2 linked regions of the Macaca mulatta genome follow. The protein of the gene in region 2 interacts with the protein of the main gene of each other region in a biochemical or structural test. Links are inferred from orthologs where the notes say so. Each region holds a gene or a part of one and is shown on either strand. Other genes may lie near its edges.

Region 1 (10,501 bases), about 5.4 Mb from region 2:
AAATTGTAAACAAAGGAACAGAGCCACAAACCTATTTTACATTCACATAAAATGTTACATTGATTGATAACAGTTTAAAAATATCTTCATAGTATATGGTACCTTTGATCATAAAACCAGGTCATATTAAGGTGACCTCTATTGAAGAGTTCTGTTTAGGGTCACTGTGTGCCAACCACCCTCATTAAAATAGTCACAGATGTAGGTAGAGGAAACCAGATAAAAGGAAGATCTCTATCTGCTTCCCCCTAGCAATCCTTACCTAGCATAACTTAAGAACAGCCAGATGGAAGAGATACATGGGGCAAGGTGTAGGGAAGCAGCAGAGCTTCTCTCCTCTGGGAGCGCCACCCTCCCAGCACCTCCATATGTTCAGCAACCCAGAAGTTCCCCAAACTCTATCCTATTGAGTTTTTATGGAGGCTTCATTTCATAGGCATGATTGATTTGATCATTGACAACTGGTGATTATCAAAATCCCCAGCTCCTCTCGTTTCCAAGGGGTTGGGGCTGGAGCCGGCAGTTTCAGCCTTCTTATTGCATGATGGGTTCTCCAGCAACCAGCCCCACACCTGTCACATTAGCCTGCAAAAGACACGTACCACTTCAGAGAGTCAAGAGTTTTCGGAGCCCTGTGCCAGGAAATGGGGGGGCAGAGACCAATAATAGATTTATTATTAAAAGTCACAATATCACAGGCAGTTTCTTTAAAACTAAACATTCACTTACCGTACAACTCAGCAGTTTTACTATTGGGCATTTATCCCAGAGAAATAAAAATATATGCAATACAGAAATGTCTATAGTTTTATTCACAGTGCCACAAATTGGAAGGAAAGTACTTAAATGTCCTTCAGCGGGTGAACGGTGAAACAAATTACGCATCCATGTCATGGAATATTACTTGGCAGTAAACAAGAGCAAACTGTGGGCATGTGGAGCAACTTGGTCTCAGGGCATTGTGCTGAATGAAAAGCCTTAAGATGTCACGTGAACGATTCCATTTAGGTAACATTCTTTAAATAGCAGAATCATAGAAATGAAAAACAAAGGAGTGGTTGCCAGAGGTTAGGAGTGTTGCAGTGTGCGGAGGTATGTGATGGTCAGAGATAACATGAAAGAGAACTCTGTGGTGATGGAATAGTCCTGTAAGTTGATAGAGGCTGTTGTTACAGGAAGCCACCCGTGTGATGAAATGACAGAGACCTGCACACACACGTTGCAGCAATGTCAGATTCCTGGTTTTACTCCTGTACTGTAGTCACGTAACATGATAACTGGGGAGACTGTGAGGGAGAATTCTAAGCAGAAGGCTCACGTGGCTTCCTGCCTCCTACCATGCCACCTCCACCGGATGCATTAAACTTACAGTCTGAGTCAGCCTGCCTCTGTCCTCATCCCTCTGTCTGTCTGTCTCTTTCCCTCCCTCCCTCCCTGCCTCCTCACTGTTTCACATGGTCATTATAAAAGAGAAACCTAAAAAATTAGGAAATGTAGATAAATTGAAAGGAAAAATTTTAAACCATGAGGTTGTTTCTTTCTTATTTAAATATGGTGATTCCCTTGGGCCTGGGCAGGATCTGTAGCCCGCAGCCTTTGAGTTCTGGACCCATTCTGTGAGATTTTTAGGGTTCAAAGTAGAAAGATTTGGTCCCACTTTCTGCTTCCAGTCCTGTCTGGTACCCGCTGCCTAATCTTTTCTGGCTAATTGTGCTTCCCAGTAATTATGTTTACCATTTTCTGACATAGGGATTAACAGCATAGGCTCTGGACTCAGAGTGCCTAGGTTTAAGTCTTGACTCCACTACCTCCTTAGTAGTTCTTCAGTCTCTTTGTGCCTCAGTTTCTTCATTTGTAACTACCACCTATCTCAGAAGCCATGGGAAGGATTAAGGGCCGTGGTAGGAAGCACTCACTGACTCTTGGATGTCATTATTTATGGTCATTACTTGGTGTCTCTACTGCATTTTGTTTATCCGCTGCCGGTTCCGTGACTGCCCATCAGTGTGCCTTGTGCCTGTTCTGTAGATTTTATTTCACAGTCTCTTGGTTTTGGTGGGTGGCACACTGCCCTGAGAGGACGGGGACGTGAGAAGGATTCTGAGCCCTTTAGTTGTCTCTAGTGCTACATCATGATTGTCATCATTGCTGTAAACCAAAAAGTATCTGAGACAAGTCTTAGTCGATTTAGAATGTGTGGTTTGCTAAAGTTAATGACACACCCATGACACAGCCTCAGGAGGTCCCGACAACATGTGCCCCAGGGTGGTCGAGGTACAGCTTGCTTTTATACACTTTAGGGAGACATGAGACATCAAGCAATGTATGTAAGATGTACATACATATATGTTCGGTTCAGTAAGGCGGAGCAATTCGAAGTGGGTGGGGGGTTTCCAAGTCAAGTAGGTAAGAGACAAAAAGTTGCATTCTTTTGAGTTCTTTATCAGCCTTCTAATGAATACACAATTGTGTGTGACTCAGTGAACCTACATTTTTACATGAACAATAGGGTAGAGGAAGCAATCAGATACGCATTTGTCTCAGGTGAGCTTCAGAGGGATGACTTTGAGTTGTGTCTGTCCTTTGTCCATAAGGAATTTTCTTGTGGGCAAATGGTGAGGAAGGGATGTGGGTTGTTATCTTTGTAGCTATCTTATTTAGCAATAAAATGGGAGGCAGGTTTGCCTGACGTAGTTTCCAGCTTGACTTTTCTCTTGGCTTAGTGATTTAGTTTCCTTTTGCATTGCTAACTCAATCACAGGAGACAGGAGTGTGGACTGATTATAGCAAGAATGCCAGAGTATGTAACAGCTTCCTTAGTCATGGTAGAGATTGAGAAACGTCAGCTCACCTAAGCTTTGAGGTTAGCTGGAGTCCAGTAGAAGAGTTATAACTAAGCACCGGCCCTTGTCTGTTTCCACTGGTGCCCATTCATTGAAGCTGAGATTGGACTGTGACTATGTACCAGTAGCAAAGGTGATAGAAGTCAAACATTGCTGTTAGTTTTAGGGGCTCACGGCCTGCTGGGGAAGGGACCCATCGGGCATAGCTGGCAGTCATGGCCAGGGTTGTGGAAACCCAGGGCCAGGCAGGGTTCAAATGCTCCTCAGAGTGTGCCAGCAGCCTCAGCCTCAGGGAGAGCTTGTCAGGGGGTGTTTTACAAGGTCTCCAAAAGCCTCTTATGCCCTTCAGAGTGAAAAGCACGGCATTGGTGATGAAGTCTTGTGGCAAATATGCAAGGCACATGTGGATATTTCCTTCTCTTGGAGGCTTAGGAGGTAGCCCCTGTCTCCTAGTGCAGTGTTTATAGCATAGTCCACTGGGACTGCTGCTCTGACAGACTGTGTCACTATTTTGTGGAATGTTTTTTGGAACTTCCAGAAAGCCTCAGTAAATCCTGACTGCCATGTAACTGTCCTGTGCTGCTGAGCTCTTAACATGAAGCAGCAGCAGTGACCCTGGCGGGTCGGGCTGACGTGCGTGGGAACGGTGGGAGTGACCCTGGCTGGGAAGCAGGGAGGCCTGGATATTGTTTCTCCTGGCTCTGTGTCCTGCGGCTCTCGTCCCTGTGCTCAGAGCTCGCAAGCACCCACGATGGCCTTCTCAGGCCGAGCGCGCCCCTGCGTTATCCCAGAGAACGAAGAAATCCCACCAGCGGCCCTTAACAGTGTCCCTGAGGCCAATGGGACCGAGGACGAGAGGGCTGTCTCCAAACTGCAGCGCAGGCACAGTGACGTGAAAGTCTACAAGGAGTTCTGTGACTTTTATGCAAAATTGTGAGTGTCTCCTCTCCTGGAGTGCCCTCTTCCAGGTCGGGCGTTCTTGGCTGGCTGTTCAGGAGCCATCCTGAGCTGGCCCATACAATTTTATTGACTGGACTTTGAGTGGGAGTTTTCCAGGGTGGTAGGGCTCTGAGGGGCTCGCAGTACAGCACGTTTAGGGAGACAGGAGGCTCCTTGTCGGTAAGACATGCAGCGACACGCAGATGGGAGGGAGGTGCTGCCCTCACTGAGAGCACCGCGGCCCCGTCTTCAGTAGATTCCTGATCACTTGGTAGCTGCATTTTCATCATGTCGTCCGCAGGGGAGGCTTATCGTTGTCGCTGTCAGGAATTACATTAGAAAAATTCTGCACTCTAAAACAGCCCAAAGATAAGGGGCAGATGGGTTGGAACAGTGAAAAAAACAAATTACAGACTGTTTAAAGATAAATATTTTTGTTATGTGTAACAACAGTTTGAAGTAAGCTAACTGGGTTTCTTAATTGAATGAATAAATACATACATTGTATAAGTAGCAAATCAATACACATATAGAACATACTGTTAACTCGAAAAAGCTAGGCTAATTTATATTATTAAATGGGTTTTAGTAAACACATTTTTTGAGAAAATGCAGAGTAGCCATCAGACCAGCTCAAGATTATTGACCTCATTCAAAGTTGTGAGCTTAGAATTACTGCATATCCCCAATTTGTCAAGTAAGAGTTAATGAGAATTTAACTGACCCGGTTCTCTACTTCCATAATCCGTTCTCTGTGGTACAGATGTCACTTATCTTCACAACTCACCGAGAGCTCTTGGTCAGTTGGACAGTAACTGGGGAATTGTAATAATACAGTCACCAATTTTTTCACTGCTTGAACTCTCAAGATGATTTTTGGATTTATACATTGCTGCATTTTAGGACCAAACAATTTGTTTTGCACACTTGAATAATGGAAAGCAAGATATCAAGTGTGCTGTGTGAGGTTGATTTGTGGAAGTAGATCAGCTTCATCAGTCATGCCTGGCCTGATTTTTACATATAAATATCTATAGATAGGTAGATACTTCCCCACTTATGTATTTCTTGTCATCAACAGTTTTTAGTGAAAATCTTTTTTTTAAAAATTAGCTAATTAATTATAACTAATCCGATAGCTATAACTGTCACTAATGACTTTTTTAAAGTAATTTCTGTCATCTGTATTAAATATAAAATCAACATTTAAAAAAAATAAAAAATAAAAAACAGGCATTGTGCCAGAGGGTCAAAGGCAAAAGAGGAAAGGGAAGCCTGACTGGTTCAGGGGGCAGCAAGGGGATTGTTCTGTTTCCTTTTTTCCTCTGCTTGTTATAAAAAGGAATACTTCTTGCAAAATACATATTATGTTACTTCTAAAACTAGCGCATTTTTCCCGTGTGTGGGAAGTAACTATGTGCTTGTTTTTATGATGTAGCTACCTATTTCCTAATTCTACTTGAGTATTTGAACTTAAGTAGAAACAATCTATATTATAATGAGTTTAAACTGGTCAGTGATAATCAAACATTTTCATCTAAGGGCCTCTTAACACTTAAAAACTATTAAGGTCTTCAAAGAACTTTCATTTATCAGTATTTACTGTATGAGAAATTTAAACTGGGAACAATTTAAAATACTTATTATTTCATTTAAAAAAAAACAATAAGCTTATTACATGTTAATAGCAAATGTTAATATTAATGTTTTCATGAAAAATAACTGTTTTCCAAAATGGAAGAGGTTTAGAGGAAAGGATGGCATTATGTTACATTTTTGTGAATCTTGTTAATATCTGTCTTTTTTTTTTTTTTTTTTTTTTTTTTTTCCTTTGAGACGGAGTCTGGCTCTGTCGCCCGGGCTGGAGTGCAGTGGCCTGATCTCAGCTCACTGCAAGCTCCGCCCCCCGGGTTTACGCCATTCTCCTGCCTCAGCCTCCCGAGTAGCTGGGACTACAGGCGCCCGCCGCCTCACCCGGCTAGTTTTTTGTATTTTTTTAGTAGAGACGGGGTTTCACCGTGTTCGCCAGGATGGTCTCGATCTCCTGACCTCGTGATCCGCCCGTCTCAGCCTCCCAAAGTGCTGGGATTACAGGCTTGAGCCACCGCGCCCGGCCGTTAATATCTGTCTTAATAAAAGTTTCTCATATTTGTTTCTGCATTCAACCTATTACGGTATATTGTTTTAGATGAAATATATGAAGAAAATGTGGCCTCCCACAGAGATGTAGTTGGAAAACAGAGGAGCTTTCCACCTCCTGAAAGAGTCATGGTGACCCCGACATTTTGGAAACCACTGATTTAGGTGATAATGAGCCAGGACATTCTAGAATATTCTTTTTGGGCTCTTTTAGAGTCCCATTAAGATTGTTGAGGTTTGGTGAATCTTTTGAGAGGGTTTAGAATTAACCACAGTGCCATATATTTGAGCAGCATCTTCTGGTTTCCAAATGGTTTTAAATACTTTTTCCTTGGAACAATAATGAGAACAGTACTGAGAATGACCAGGCAGGTGTGGAGCTTACCATGTTCCTCCATCCAGGAACACCTGTGGACTTTGGTCAGGAAGAAGGAAGAAGCACAGACCTCTCCAGAGTTTTGTGAAACTGCCACAGTCATCTGGCTTGTGGCAAAGCTGGGCGATGATGAGAATTGTACAGATTTTTTCCCCAGCCCACAGGAACTTTGAAATGACAAAATGGAAATTCATTTTAACATGAGGCTTAGGCCAGGTTTACTGAGCAGTGAAGCTGCTTCCCTTTCTCCCTTCCTTCCTTTTTTTTGTGACATTTAATTCTGCATTCAAACCTGTTAGATAAAGTTGATCTTTGACTGGTCTGAAGTGATGAACATGGTGTGTCTACACGCAGTTATTTATGGCAAGGCTACAAAACGGGCTGACTGTTTTGTGAAACATTTGTGGGAGGAAGGCAGAGGGAAAGTTGTCTTCCAGAGGTGTGGAGGGGAGTGAAGCAAGTAAGTGGGACCACTTTTGCTAAGGAAACAGCAAAACTTGGAAACCAATAGGGGCAAGGCAGTTAGTTACTCTGTCTATAGAATGGAGACTGTCCACCTGTCTGTCTCACTAGTTGGTTGTGAAAATTCAGGAGAAAGTTGGTAATAACTTCATGAAGTACATTGATTAAATATTTGGAAGGTCAGAAGCTGTACCAGCGGACTAGACACACAGGTGTAGAGCTCATGCTGTGAGTAGTTCTGTGAAAATAAACTGGCCAAAAATTGAAGGACCACTTGACCAGTTCCTGCCCTGCATGGGGGACCTTCTCCCTACAAATAGGTCTTCATGTGAAATCCTGATCTAATTGTATGCCTGTCGAAGCCGTGTTGCTTTTCTTTTCTTTTTTTTTTTTCCTTTTTGAAATGGAGTTTTGTTCTTGTTGCCCAGGCTGGAGTGCAGTGGTGAAATCTCGGCTCACTGCAACCTCTGCCTCCCAGGTTCAAGTGATTCTCTTGCCTCAGCCTCCCAAGCAGCTGGGACTACAGGCATGCACCACCACACCTGGCTAATTTTGTATTTTTATTAGAGACGAGGTTTTACCATGTTGGTCACACTGGTCTCGAACTCTTGACCTCAAGTAATCCATCGGCCTCAGCCTCCCAAAGTCCTGGGATTACAGGTGTGAGCCACCTCACCCAGCTGCCATGTTGCTTTTCTTCTTGCAAACTGCACAATGGTTAGAGCCTGAGATTATTTATTGAATGCCTTCTGTGTTTTAAGGTGTAGTGGGGTTACTGATGGGGGGATTTCCCACACCACCAGCCACAACAGTGGTTACTTGACAGCCTGGTATCACTTTCCTAACCATGAAACGTGATGGTATCCCTGTCATGTCCTTTCAAGTGTTTGAAATTCGTGGTGTAATCTGTTTTGATTGAGAGTGTGATTTTATGAGCAGGGAACCTGGATTTCTAGTCCCGTGCCTTCCTTTAACTAATTAGCCTTGTGATGTTGGTCTGATCCTTCCATCTCTGTGAACCTCTTTTGCCATCTGTAAAATGATCTTTATTATGTAAAATTTTGTGGTTTTAAGATACACTTTATAATACTGGTAATCAGGTTCGTCTTACCGATTAGGGAACAGGACCGGGGCATCTTGGCTGGTTTTAAGGTTACTTAAGCAGTTGCTTTCCACAGAATTTAATCAAAGGGGTAACCTGTGTCTAGGTTATATGGTATGGCATTTAGTTGACAAGCATTTTAGATTCTATTCTTAGAAGGGAAAGAAATTGGCCTTGAGATGCTGACTTTTGGATTTTTTTTTTTTTTTTTTTTTTTTTTTTTTTTTTTTGAGAGGGAGTCTGTCTCTGTCGCCCAGGCTGGAGTGCAGTGGCCGGATCTCAGCTCACTGCAAGCTCCGCCTCCCGGGTTCACGCCATTCTCCTGCCTCAGCCTCCCGAGTAGCTGGGACTACAGGCGCCCGCCACCTCGCCCGGCTAGTTTTTTTTTGTATTTTTTAGTAGAGATGGGGTTTCACCGTGTTAGCCAGGATGGTCTTGATCTCCTGACCTCGTGATCCGCCCGTCTCGGCCTCCCAAAGTGCTGGGATTACAGGCTTGAGCCACCGCGCCCGGCCGACTTTTGGATATTTTAATTAAGCTTCTTATAAAGCTGTAAACCAAGTTCCTTGAGAGCAGCTTATAACTTTCATCTCTGTCTCAGGTGCCTAACACATAGTAGGTACGCACTCATAATATATTTAGCAAGAAAAATGCCAAAAATGTTAGAGACAGAATCAAAGTGGGACACCCTTACAGAGCCTCAGATGCTAGGGTAGAGGCTGAGGAGTCCAAGTTCAGAGCACGTAAGGAACAAGCGAAAAACTAAACTTTTTAGATAAAATAGGGTTTTTGTGATCAGATAGAATTCGCTGCTCACGGTTCTTGGTGTGGTTTGGTCTTCAATCTAAGAAGAGGCTGACGGTCTGCAACCTGCTGTTCTTTGTGTGTTACAGCAACATGGCCAATGCCCTGGCCAGCGCCACTTGTGAGCGCTGCAAGGGCGGCTTTGCACCCGCTGAGAAGATCGTAAACAGTAACGGGGAGCTGTACCATGAACAGTGTTTCGTGTGCGCTCAGTGCTTCCAGCAGTTCCCAGAAGGACTCTTCTATGAGGTGAGTTGTGCTAGACAAAAGCAGGGAGGTGCCATTCCCCGCCCTCCCGCTTCCTGCCCTTCTTTTCTGAGGCCTCCTCCTTCATGTTCAGTTTCATGAGGAAAGACTGAATTGAAGTGTCAGATGCATGCCAGGTATTTGATAGCTATGAGGTCAGAGGTGGAATCTGTATGGCCCATATGGACAGTGGCATGGATGGGACACCCTCACAAACCCTGCATTCATATTGCTCAGTTCGTTGTCCTATTTCAGAACCCAGAGTCCCTTATGACAGAGCCTTTCAGACCTAAGCAGCTCAGCTCCACATACAAAATTCTTTCCGAGTCTTCACCCACACTCAGGCCCCCAACACACCTCACCCATTCCTGTCTCTGTGTCTGTCCCCCTTCTCAGAGGACCACTGGACCCGCTCTAAAGGACAGTGTGTGCTGTACGTCACCCCCTCCACAACTTCCCAGCCTCGAGCCAGGAGCGTCCATGCATTTATTTTCTAAGGAAAAAATAAGTATTTTAGGGAACTAGACTGTCTACATTTATCTACATTTAGCTCTTCTGGGTGTGTATGTTCTTTTCCAAATACTTGTTTTTCTTGGCCGTCAGGTGTTAGCATATGGTCTGCACTTCCTTTGTAGTGTATTTGGTATTCTCAACATTACTGAAACCCCTTTCTCGTTGTTTTGTATTGTTTTGTTTTGTTTGAGACAAAGTTCTATTGTATAGCCCAGGCTAGAGTGTAGTGGTATGATTATAGCTCATTGCAGCCTTGAACTGCTAAGCTCAAGTGATCCTCCAGCCTCTGCCTCCTGAGTAGCTGGGACTACAGGCGTATGCCACCACGCCCGACTAATTTTATTTTTTCTAGAACGGAGTCTCCCTATGTTGCCCAGGCTGGTCTTGAACTCCTGGTCTCAGGTGATCCTCGGCCTCCCAAAGTGCTAGGATTACAGGCATGAACCACCACGTCCAGCCTACTGAAACCCCTTTCTCACAGTAAACATGTATTTTGGGGGATAATCTAGGGATGCTGACCCCAGGCTGTAAATGAAGGTGAGAATGAGGTATTTTGTGTGTGTTAGATCAAATAGGTAATTTACTGTTACCACCTTACTTCTTACATATTTGTACATATCTGCACATCTATATATGATAATATATGTATGTAGAATTATTTTATAGCTGGAGGTGGCTGCTCTTTGATTTCTTCCTTTGCCTAGTGGATTTTTATATTTCCCTGTTATATAAACCATGCTTGAGCAAGGAAAGGTAGTTTACAAAGATCATTGGTAAGTCCGTTGTGTGCCTCTCAGGCAGCATTTTCCCATAGAAACAAACATCATGAGATGGGGGTTCCCAGGCCAGCCCACAGAAAAGCTGTTTACCCCATCACGGGTACATGAAATTTAGGGCTAGCAAGTATGTAATAATGTCACTCTGGGAAACAGCTTTAAGGGTTTGGGTTAGGGAATGCTATTTTATTCACTAGTACACATTTTTTTTAAGCTCCTGTTGTGTCCCCAAAACACACATTCCCGACAACAAAAACCTTAGCAGTGGAAAGAGGTCTTCATTTTCTCTTTTCTTCTAATT
Region 2 (10,677 bases):
GACACTTCAGGAGGCAATTAAGGTTAAAAAAGGTCTTAAGAGTGGGGCCCTGATCCAATAGGACAGATGTCCTTATAAGAGGAAGAGACACCAGACCTCTCTCTCAGTGCGTTCACAGAAGGCAGGCTACGTGAGCGAGGACACAAGAAGACGAGCCAGGAAGAGATTCTCAACAGAAATCAGCCCTGCCGGCCCCAGGGCCATGGACTTCCAGCCTCCAGAACGCTGAGAAAATAAATGTCTGCAGCTTCAGCCACCCATTCCGTTTGGTGTGTCTTTGTGTGTGTGTGTGTTGGTTTGTTTTTGAGATAGGGTCTCACGCTGTCACCCAGGCTGGAGTACAGTGGCGCGATCTCCGCTCACTGCAACCTCCGCCTCCTGGGTTCAAGCAATTCGCATGACTCAGCCTCCCAAGTAGCTGGGATTACAGTCGTTGAGCCACTGCGCCTGGCCTCTGTGTTTTATTCTCTTAAGGCAGCTGGAGCTGACTAATACATGCCCTAAACAGGAATAAGCTCTCTCAACTTGAGGAGGCTTTCCAGGGTAATCCTGGCCCATAACCAGGAGGCGAGGACAAGAGAGACTGACATTGCTCCTGCCGGCCTCCTCTCACACCACTACCGGCCTCCCCTCACACCACTCAACCTCAGTCAACTCACACCCAGAATCTTCTCAGCCAATATACACACAGCTGCGACACGGCAAAGGCAGACACCCAAGGCCGCTGTGTTTCATAAACTGTCTCAGGATAAAACAACTCTACCCAGCAACCCGTGGGTGCTCCTCATGTACGGCCTGCAGAAGGACTTAACCCTAAATTCAAGCTCCGTCATCCCTAGTCTCCCACCTAGAAATAAGGGCCAGAACCAAGTGCGCCATGTTATTCTGACTCTTAAAATGATGGTGTACGTGAAAAGGACTTTGCAAACGATGAATGAGCGTGCATGCATTAGTACATGCCATTCTCTCATCATGGCATTTTAGGTCCTCACTAACAATTGGGCAACAGGAGCACCCCACTTCACAAAACTGTCTCAAAAGAAGCAACTGCAATACTTAAAATTCTGAGCGCACTTGAAGCTTCTTTTCTTAAAAACACTACAAATACAATAGTAGAAAGAAGGGGTGACACAAATAACCAACTTACCAGGCCAGGATCACAAATGCTCTGCCCAGCGTTTCGAATTCAGGTTGATATGAACAGACTAACCTACAAAAGTAAACCATTCAGCCAGCCCACCAGGTAACGCAGGTGGGTATGGGTCTGGCTTTGTTTCTGTTGTTGCCGTTGTTGTTTTTAAATGTAGCTTCAGGACTACAAATGACTCATGTGACAGAAAATTTGCCAAACAGAGAGGCCAGCAGACTAAATTCTCCCATTGTCTGAACATCCTGAGGTCAAAGCCTTCCAGAGTAGACAGAAGTTTCTGAGATTTACAAGAATGCTGGAGATCTCGTACCACTCGAATCTCAGTGGGAGGCTAGAGCTCCAATACTGACAGGCTGGGAACTCAATATTCACATATTCAATAAGTATTTGTTGCACACCCATTGTGTATAAGTGACAAGACCAGTCTGCCCCCAAGGGGTTCAGAATTTATTAAAGAAAAGATGAAGGCAAAAAAAAACCATAGGGCAGGGCATGGTGGCTCAGGCGTGTAATCCCAGTACTTTTGGAGGTCAAGGCAGGAGGCTCACTTGAGCCCAGGAGTTTGAGACCAGCCTTGGCAAAGCAGCAATACCCTGCCTCTACAAAAAAATGAAAATAAAAAAATTCACTGGGCATGGTGGTGCACACCTGTAGTCCCAGCTACTCGGAGGCTGAGGTGGGAAGATTGCCTGAATCCAGAAGATCAAGGATGCAATGAGCTGTGATCGTGCTACTGCACTCCAGCCTGGGTGACAGGGTGAGACCCTGCTTTAAAAAAAAAAAAAAAAAAAACCTGTAGGAAAGAATATCACACATGACAAATCAGGGACACAAAGAATGTGCTGTGGAGGTTTAAAGATGATGCCATCCCCTCTAGTTTGGAGTTGATAAGATGTGGGGAAGAAAAGAAATAAGAGATGACCCTTGGGATGAGTAAGAACTCAGGACTCAGCCTGGTCAGGGACAGTGACACAGTGAGACATCACTGTGACACTGCTACCTCAATCAAAATAACTTTCATTTCCACAGTTTTGAGAAATAAGATTCTGGAGGTAGGAATGTATGTGCCAGTGCATGTGTGTGTGGATGTGTGTCACTGGGCAGAGGTAATACTTGTTAACGTTCATTTACCTTTAGAAATAAACATACTTTGGGATATGTTCAAAGGAAAATACAGGAAAAGAATAGAGTCTAACTGTTTAATTGTGCTATTAAATGGCCTAAAGAAATGCAAAACTATTTTTGCTTTAGCTGCATACTTTTGATAACCCATTAAAAGGCTATCATGACCTTCTTCTGAGTTGGCTTAACTCAGGCATGGAACAACACACATGAAATCACGTTTTAGCTTAGGGCCTTTGAAAACGTGCCATGAAGTACTTCCATCACACATTTTAGGAAAGAGAAACCATTTGGAAGTGCCACTTGCCATCCCTCTGGATGGGAAAACTAATTTCCTAAGCCTCTGAAGTCAGTTGTGGGGAGTTTCCAGTTCACTTGTGAAAACAGTTTTCCCAAACATCGCTCATCATCCTCCCCTGCAGTTCCGGGAAGCAATTTTGGGCTCTTGTCATTAAGCCTCATTTTTAATGTCAGAGAATGAATTCCACAAGCCTTGTCTCCCCCAGTGCACATGGCAAGCCAGTCCGAGCAGTTAGAAAAATGGGTGTCCCATAGAGCAGCACAGCCTGCTCTAGCCAGGGCAAATTAAGCTAGCTCAACTGATCAAGTAAAGGACTCCAGTACATTCTGCGCCATTCGCGGAGTCTTAGGGTATTTTAAAAGGTTATCCAGTCTGTGCACATGCAAGGAAGATTTCCGGTGTATTTAAAATGGATGATAGTGCATTTCTCAAATATAGTACTGTGTACATAAGATCTGCTGTTTGTTGGAAAAGCTAAATAACCCAAAATGTAAATGACAGAGCCTGGGAATATGTCAGGGTCAAAGAGAGCAGGGATGAAGAAGATTTAAGTATGCAGCGCGTCCTAAGCAAAACACAAAGCCTGAAAACTGAGCACAGCCACCTGCAAGGCACCTTCAGCGAGCCCCACGGTTAACAGGGTCAGTTTCTCCACAAGTGGACAGAGGGGCTTATGCAGCAGCCAACTCTTCCTGATGGTAATTTGTGACCCAATTTCATCCAGTGTTTCATGATCAATCCCCCTGAATGTTTATGAAGCAGGAAAGAAGCTCAGAATCCAGGAGAGGCCTCCCGGACAGGAAGTGGGCCAGGCACCTCCACAGCTTCCTATGCCTAAAGTTCTCCATTTCAGCCTCAAGTAGCCACCAGAAGACCACTAAGATTCCGCCACCTTCTCCAATCAAAACTACATCTAACCAACCTCCAGGGGAGAATATACTGAGGTAGGATTTTCCCTTGTGTTCACTTCTTCACAAGCAAGGTTAACACTTGCTTCTCAGGAAATCCCTGTTCCAAACATCAAAAAACTTCCATGTCTAGCCCAATCTCCAGGTGAAGTCAATTTCTTCTCCACGTGTCCGATGACCGCCATTCTCTTTACATAAAACTCGCATAGGCTTGAATCCTGTTACTAATTCACCTGCTTATCTATGAAGCTTGGAAAGTGAATTGAGGGAGTGTTCACAAGCACAGTTCCGTTTCGGTAAGGTAAAGCAGCCCAGGTTAATTTCATTTTCCGTCACTTTTGAGACTTGATAACTACATCTAAAACAGAGGCATGAAAAACACCCTGAATCACTTTCATTACTACACAAAATCCCTTCCGAGAAGCGGGGACTGGGCCTGGGCCAGGAAGGGACTCCCCTACCTGTGGGTCCCACCAAGCCACGCCCACCGGCCTCTCAGGGTGGTTTCTTTCTGGGTCGAGGGATGGAGCTGGCCCATGCGATATTTTAGGCCCCCTCCTGCCCACACTGGGGCCTGCTCATCCCATTATGCATATGCAAACTTGGCAGAAGCGGCCTTAAACCTGTTGGCAAAATAAACAAAGCCAAATAAAGAGGAATCTGCCAACCTGAATTGTGAGAAGTGACCAAGGCCGACTACACGACTCCACGCCCGCTCGGCTTTGTCCCTGAAGCTGCTACAAAACTAGTTTAAGTCAGGTGCCTGGGGTCCACCAGCCAATGACCCCTAGCATCCAGCGCAGACCTTCACAGAGATCCTTATTGTCTACAAATTACAGCGTTTTGCAAATTAAACCCCTCCCCACAATGCCAAGCTAACTGTGCTCATAAGGGAGTTACCGTCCATGCCTTAAAACTCACACATCAAATTTTTCCAAAACCACTGGGTGATTAAATCGCCCTGAAAAACACCGAGAGGGCCGAGCGGTTGTGAGAAACTTTGGTTCAGGTGGCTGTAAGAGTCCTGTAAATCTGGGGCAGGGCGCAGAGCCTGAAGCCGGGCACAAAAGCTCCCTTCGCCGAAGCGAAGACCTCCTTTATGCGATGTGACAGCAGCTTTGTGCGCGATCATAAATAGTTGTAATAAACACAGTTAAGTTCTCCCGGCCGATCGCGGCCTCCCCGGTCCCTGCGCCGGGGCCCTGCGATCCGCGGCTATTCTTCCCCGGCACACGCGCCCTGGCGACCCTGGCCACCGCACGGTCCCACGCTAGCCCCGAGCTCCGTGCCAGCCGCCCGCCCGCAGGCCAGGCGCAGCCTGCGCACCCGGGGGTCTCCAGTCCCCGGGCCCCGCCGCCGGGCCCCCTGCCCTGATCCCCGCCCGCGCCCTTGGCTGGCGTCCCCGCCTCTGCGCCGGGCCGCGATGGTGGGGGTTGGGGATGGGAAGGCGGGCAGGAAGGTGCCGAGCCGGGAGATGCCCGGCAGCCCACAGTCGGGGGCGCCCAGGCCGCGGCGGGGCCGAGAGTACCGGTGGGGCGCGGAGGCGACCCGCTCTCGCAGCCCCTTCCCGGGCGCACCCCGGCCCACGAGCCCCGCCGCGCTCCCAACTCCGCCCAACGACCCCAAGTTTGTGGCCCCCTCCCCGCGCCCGCCTGGCCGTGCTTACCTCGCTGTGGGCCGCCCGCGGAGCCGGAGGGCAGCGGCGCGGGTCCCGGGGCGGCGGCCGCGCTGCGCCCGCCCAGGCGCCGCTCTTTGTCTGCGCCGCTCCCTCCTCCCGCCGCCGGGCGGACGCTGCCGGCCCGGGCGGACCCCGCCGGCCCGGGCGCCGCGAGCCTCCCCGCAGCCGAGCCCTCCCCTCCGCCCGCCGTCCGCTCGGCCGCGCGGCTCCGGCCTGACGATCCCCGCGGCGGCGGCGGCGGCGGCGGCGGCGGCGGCGACCCTCCCCCGGCGCGCAGCGCCCGCCTCCTCCGCGCTCTTCCTCCTCCTCCCGCGCTCCTCCCCGGCAGCGCCGTGACGCCGCCCAGGGGCCGGCCCAGGCCCGGGCACGCGGGGCGGGGCGGGGACCCGAGACCCACCTGGGGCGCCCCCCGGCGCCGCCAGGCTCCGCGCCCGGGTCTCGGTACGGGCGCGGGTATAGCGCGGGGCTGCGGGACGCTCCGCTCTGGAGGCGCAGCACTGGCCCGGCGCCGGGGACAGGAAAGGGTCCCCACGCCCGAAATTGCGCGCGGGCGGTGGGGGGCAGGCTGGGTGGGTGGGGAGGAGAGTGAAAACATAGGCTGCAACTTCCAGCCTGGGATGCCTGCCGGGTGGGCTTTGCGTCCTCTTGTTTGTTTGTTTGATGTCCTTATCGCGAAGCTGTAGTTGCTGGGCAGCCGCCCCCCTCCCGGAAGCATTCCCACGGCACTCAGCTAAGCAGGCCTGGTGTCCATCAGAAAAGTGACTTAAATAAAAATGTCACTTCCTCCTTGTAATTGCTTGTGGGCATTTTTATTTATTTGTCTTGCATCTATTTACTTTCCCAACCAGACACGTTTTTAGTCCATCATCCCTGTCTGAGGCACTTCCTAAAGGGAGAAGAAACTCGACCTCTGTTGCCTCCCAGGCATCCAGGCCAGCCCCAGCCAGTGGAATCCTGGTTGCACACCCATGGGGACAGGATCCGAAGAGGAGCTGCCCGAATGTGCCCCTAGAAGGAGTGTCGCTAATGATGGGACTGTTCAGCTCACCCAGCCTCAAGTTGTGGCTAGCCTATAAACAAACTTGGAAGATTAAAACCCAAAAGCAAGGGGAAAGACGCAAGTTTCCCTTTCACAGACACATGCATCCGGATGTCTTTTCTCCTCCCCATATGGTTTCCCAAAGGAAATCCTAATATTCAAATGATTCTGATTTCCTGGCAGGATAGCCTGCATCCATGTTAATGAGATTCTTTCTTAGGCTGCTGGTCTCTGCTTACTATTAAGACAATAATAATTTATCCAAGGTTACAAGGCAGTATTATTTGATTCAGTCATCTGCTTCCTTCCAGAAAGGAAGTACCCAAGGACAGGTAACTAGAGTCAGTGTAGCTTTGAAGTCAGACAGGTGAGTGTTTGTTGACTTCCTGAACTGTGTAACCTTGCACAGGTGGTCTTAGCCTTTCTAACATCTGTCAAATGGGGAGATAATATTTACCTACCTCCTATGTGAAGGACTCTGGCAGTAGGTAGCCCTCAATAGCTCAGTAAGTGGAAGAAGGCACAGTACACTGAGCAGGGATCAGGTACAAGCTCAGGGAATCAGGACAGCCTCCCTTTTCCTTGTTTTGATCCTGTGAAAGAAGCTACTTCAGTTCATCCTTTTGTGCAAGCCTCGTGTTACTAATATCTAGCTTTACAATAAGGAAAGAAGAATACTAGTCATCAGTCTGCCCAATTTTAAATTAATTTACTCAAAATAAGTATAACAATGTTGACCCAGTTTCTAGCTGGTTTGCTTTGTAAACTTTCACTGAATCGTGGTTGTTGCGTGCCTCTTCCTTCTCTGATTTTTTAGAAAGTCACCGATGTCATTATCTATCTACATCCAGTGGCCCTTTATCAATCTTTATCCTATGCAGTTTTCTGAAGTATGTGGCATTTCTGCTATTTCCAGAAACACCATCATCTTTTCATTCATCAAACACAGCCAGTTCTGATTCTTTTACCTTTCTGACCTACCCATCTGCCTCCTCTAGAGAGTTTGTTGTCTTCCCACCCTCTAAAAGTAATATCCCCAAGGCAGATGGTGGTCCTTTGTTTTTATTCTGATATGCACCTTTTTTTTTTTTTAAGAGAGAGTTGATTGTTTTTTGTACACTCCCTGTCTAAACCTTCATTGATTAACTCCCAGACCCCGTAGTCTTAGAGAGCTCCCCAGCTAATCTGCACTCCCTACACATGGCCCAGCATCTCTTCTAGGTCACCATGTTCAGAATGAAACTCATCTCCTCCCCAGACTAGCTCCTCCTCCCATGGTTTCAGGCCTGGCCAAGAGTCTACCAGGCACCTCAGCTCCCGGGAGAAACCTCATTGTCATCTTGGCTTTTCCTTCCCTCTCTCCAAGTTCTCCCCAAGAAAAGCCAGGAGAGCGCTGAATGACACTAAGACCCCTTTCAGTCCACCCCCATGGTTCTGAGTCCTGGTGATTCTTAAACATCTTTTTGACTGCACCTTTCTTTCCATTTCCATCACTGGCATCATAACTTATACATCATTCCTAGCAATGCTTATAAAGTATCTTGATTGAATTCTTGACATAAATCATCTCTAATCCACACACAATAGTATTGTCCCCATTTTACAGATGAAATCACTTGATCAGTGGATCAAATAACTGGGGTCAGAACTGCAAGTACGTGACTCCAAAACTCTTGTTCATTTCCCCACAACTGCCTTCCAACTGGTCTCCCATTACTTACTTATTAAATCCCTCAGATTTGCACTGGACGTCAATGTCATCCTAACCTTCCTATAAATTGCTTCCATTTGCCGGTGGTTGTGCTTAAGAACTTCTCATGGTTCCCCATTTCCCACCACGGTCTCCTCAAAAGTTATGTGATGACAGAAGACTGAGCATTTTCCCCCGGGGAGGCTGGGGGATTTAGCCCTGAGTGGCCTGTGTGAGTTTCCTGGGGCTGCCTTAACAAATGACCGCAAACTGGGTGACAGAGGTTATTTTCTCAAAGTTCTGGAGGTCAGAAGTCTGATATCAAGACACTAGCCTCTCTCCGAAGGCTGTAGAGGACAATCCTTCCCTGCCCCTTCCAGCTTCTGGCGGCTGCAGGCATTCCTTGGCTTGTGGCAGCGTCACTCCCACCTCTGCCTCTCTGTCTTCACACAACCTGGTTCCCTGTGTCCTTTCCCTTCTCTCTTTTTGTAAAGACAAGGACCATTGAATTTAGGGCTCACTGTAGTCCAGCATGATGTCATCTCGACATCCTTATCTTACAACATCTGCAAAGACCTTTTTTCCAAATAAAGTCACATTCTCAGCTTCCAGGTGAACATATCTTTTAGGGCCAACATCCAACCCACTGGAAGGCTTAATATGGGGGAGACATTTCTTTGAAGCTTATGTTTTATCTAAAACTATACAGGTTTTCCTGCATTCTATTCCATTAATGTGTCCACACCTGTTTTACTGTCTTCAATCACAAAGTATTGAAAGCATAAAAAACATAGAGTGGAAGGAGGTGTAGTACACTTTTGTCTAAAATCACATTAGCATTACGCATTATGACCTCTCTTCCAAAGGCCTCTCAAACTTAGTCCTGCCATACAATCTCCTTTTTACCTCTGTCCAGTGTAAGCTGTTTGCTTCAGTCACTCAGCTCTGCCCACAGTGCCACACTGAATCACACTAGTTTCAGCCTTCTGTGGTGTGAAGGCGGTTAGGAATTCCCTGTCCCCCTCCTTCTCTTTCAGATCTCCATTCAAGGCTTTCTCTAATCCCTCCTTGGACTCATGGAAAACACAAAGTGAGGTTGAGGGTGCTGTCCAAGTCAGACATCAGAGGCTCAAAGCCTACCTTCAAGCCCGTGCCTTGGGATCATTTCACCTCTCTGAGCCTCAGATATTAATAGTGCTCTTGCAAAACGTTGTGAGAATTAAAGGAGATAATGTAAACGTGTCTCAACTGTGTGTTCAGCACATGGTAAACACTCATGTCTGCTTTCTCATGACCTTCTCTCTTAACCATCAATTCAATGAAGCATATCTGGTGTAGTTCTATTTGTAAGGCATTATAAGGTCCACTTCAGGATTCATTCATTTGATGCAGATACCAAAGAACACCTGGATGTGCAAAGAGCAGATGTAAGATTGCATTATTCAGAGAGGTGATAACGCAAACTGGAGTGGAGTGAACAGATGGGAAAATAGTTTAGGAGAAATGGAAAGGAAAGATCCAAAAAGAAGGTTGAAACGAGCATACAAATAACTATAATATAAAACTAAATATGAACAGTACCGAAGAAAATATGTCTGGAGAATCGGGAGAGGATTTAGGCTTTAGGCTTTATGAAAGGTGGTGGCATTGGCAATGACCTTGAGAGATGACATGGTGAGAAGCTGCCTTTAATTGGGCTGCCCCGGGTCTAGCCCCTTCCCGGTTTTAGAGAGACCTGTCTGAACCCTGGAGGGAGGCAGAGTGGGCACCTCAATCTCTCCATTCCCAGAAGCCCTGTGAGGATGAACAGCCTGGAATTGGCCAGTGGAACCCTCCCACTCAAGACTGTGAAACTGGAGAGGGTGACAAGGACAAGGGAGGGTGAAATTCAATTTGCCATAGCTGAAATAGTCCCAGCACGTCCCTCCCACAGGAGTGAGCCAGCTCCATTCTCACCCCTTCTGCTCTCCAGTTCCCCTGTGAGCTACTTGATATTCTTCTAGTAAATTCTCCTGTTCTGCTTAAGGTACCCAGAGGCACTTTCTCTTTTTGCAACCCGAACCCCTGAATAATGCAAATGGTAGCATTTTGAAAGGTGGAGATAGACAGGGAGAAAATTCCCAGTGGCGGCAGCTCAGAACCCTGAGGCAGACAGGGGAATGTGGGAGGACCCCGTAGGGACAGGGAATGGCCCACTTGCCTAAATGGAGCAGAGACTGCACAGAGCGGATCGCGAGGCCAAGAAGGAAAGCGGTTACGTGTGGACATCATCTGGGCTCAGCCCAGGAAGACACAATTGGTACATGCACGGAAGGACAGCTGGAGACAGGAAGAGCAGACAAAAGTTCGCATTTCTAAGAGAGTTCATAACCCCAACTGCAAATGGATGGGAAAGTGTTTTAGGAGAAATGGAGGAGGAGGCTCAAAATGAATTGGCAGCTGCTTGAATACGGGGGACCAAAGAGAAAGAGAATGGGGCACAAATATAACCTGAGGCTTTGGATGCCCACATCCACAAAGATAACGGTGCCAAGATCCCAAATAGAAAAGTGGGGAGGACTGGCTTGTGAGGGATGAACAGTTTTGCTTTTGTACATTTGTTAAATGTAAAGAAGAATAGTTATTGCCAACTTACTACATGGAGAGCGCACTGCAGGAGGTACACAAATGAGCAAGCCACAGTTCCTGCCCTGAAGTGCCTCTGTGCTAGAAAAGTTGCTATTACTGCTATAAATACCCTGCTGGAGTAATGAGCCTATTGCTCTTTAATTGTGTCATTCATCTCAGCG

The links. The genes of interacting proteins can lie anywhere in the genome.
Region 1: the proteins of NCK2 (region 2) and LIMS1 form a complex in vitro, tested with the Homo sapiens proteins (4 studies listed by BioGRID and IntAct, with this or other methods). The link is inferred for Macaca mulatta from reciprocal best matches to the Homo sapiens genes NCK2 and LIMS1.

Annotation. Positions count from the first base shown.
Region 1 is NC_133418.1:19,219,966-19,230,466, forward strand, and holds the start of LIMS1 (LIM and senescent cell antigen-like-containing domain protein 1), read left to right. Parts: upstream 1-3,354; 5' UTR 3,355-3,594; coding exon 3,595-3,776; intron 3,777-8,754; coding exon 8,755-8,914; intron 8,915-10,501. UniProt on the Homo sapiens protein: Within the IPP (ILK-PINCH-PARVIN) complex, binds to F-actin, promoting F-actin bundling, a process required to generate force for actin cytoskeleton reorganization and subsequent dynamic cell adhesion events such as cell spreading and migration.
Region 2 is NC_133418.1:13,837,970-13,848,646, reverse strand, and holds the start of NCK2 (cytoplasmic protein NCK2), read right to left. Parts: upstream 5,375-10,677; 5' UTR 5,148-5,374; intron 1-5,147. UniProt on the Homo sapiens protein: Adapter protein which associates with tyrosine-phosphorylated growth factor receptors or their cellular substrates. Maintains low levels of EIF2S1 phosphorylation by promoting its dephosphorylation by PP1.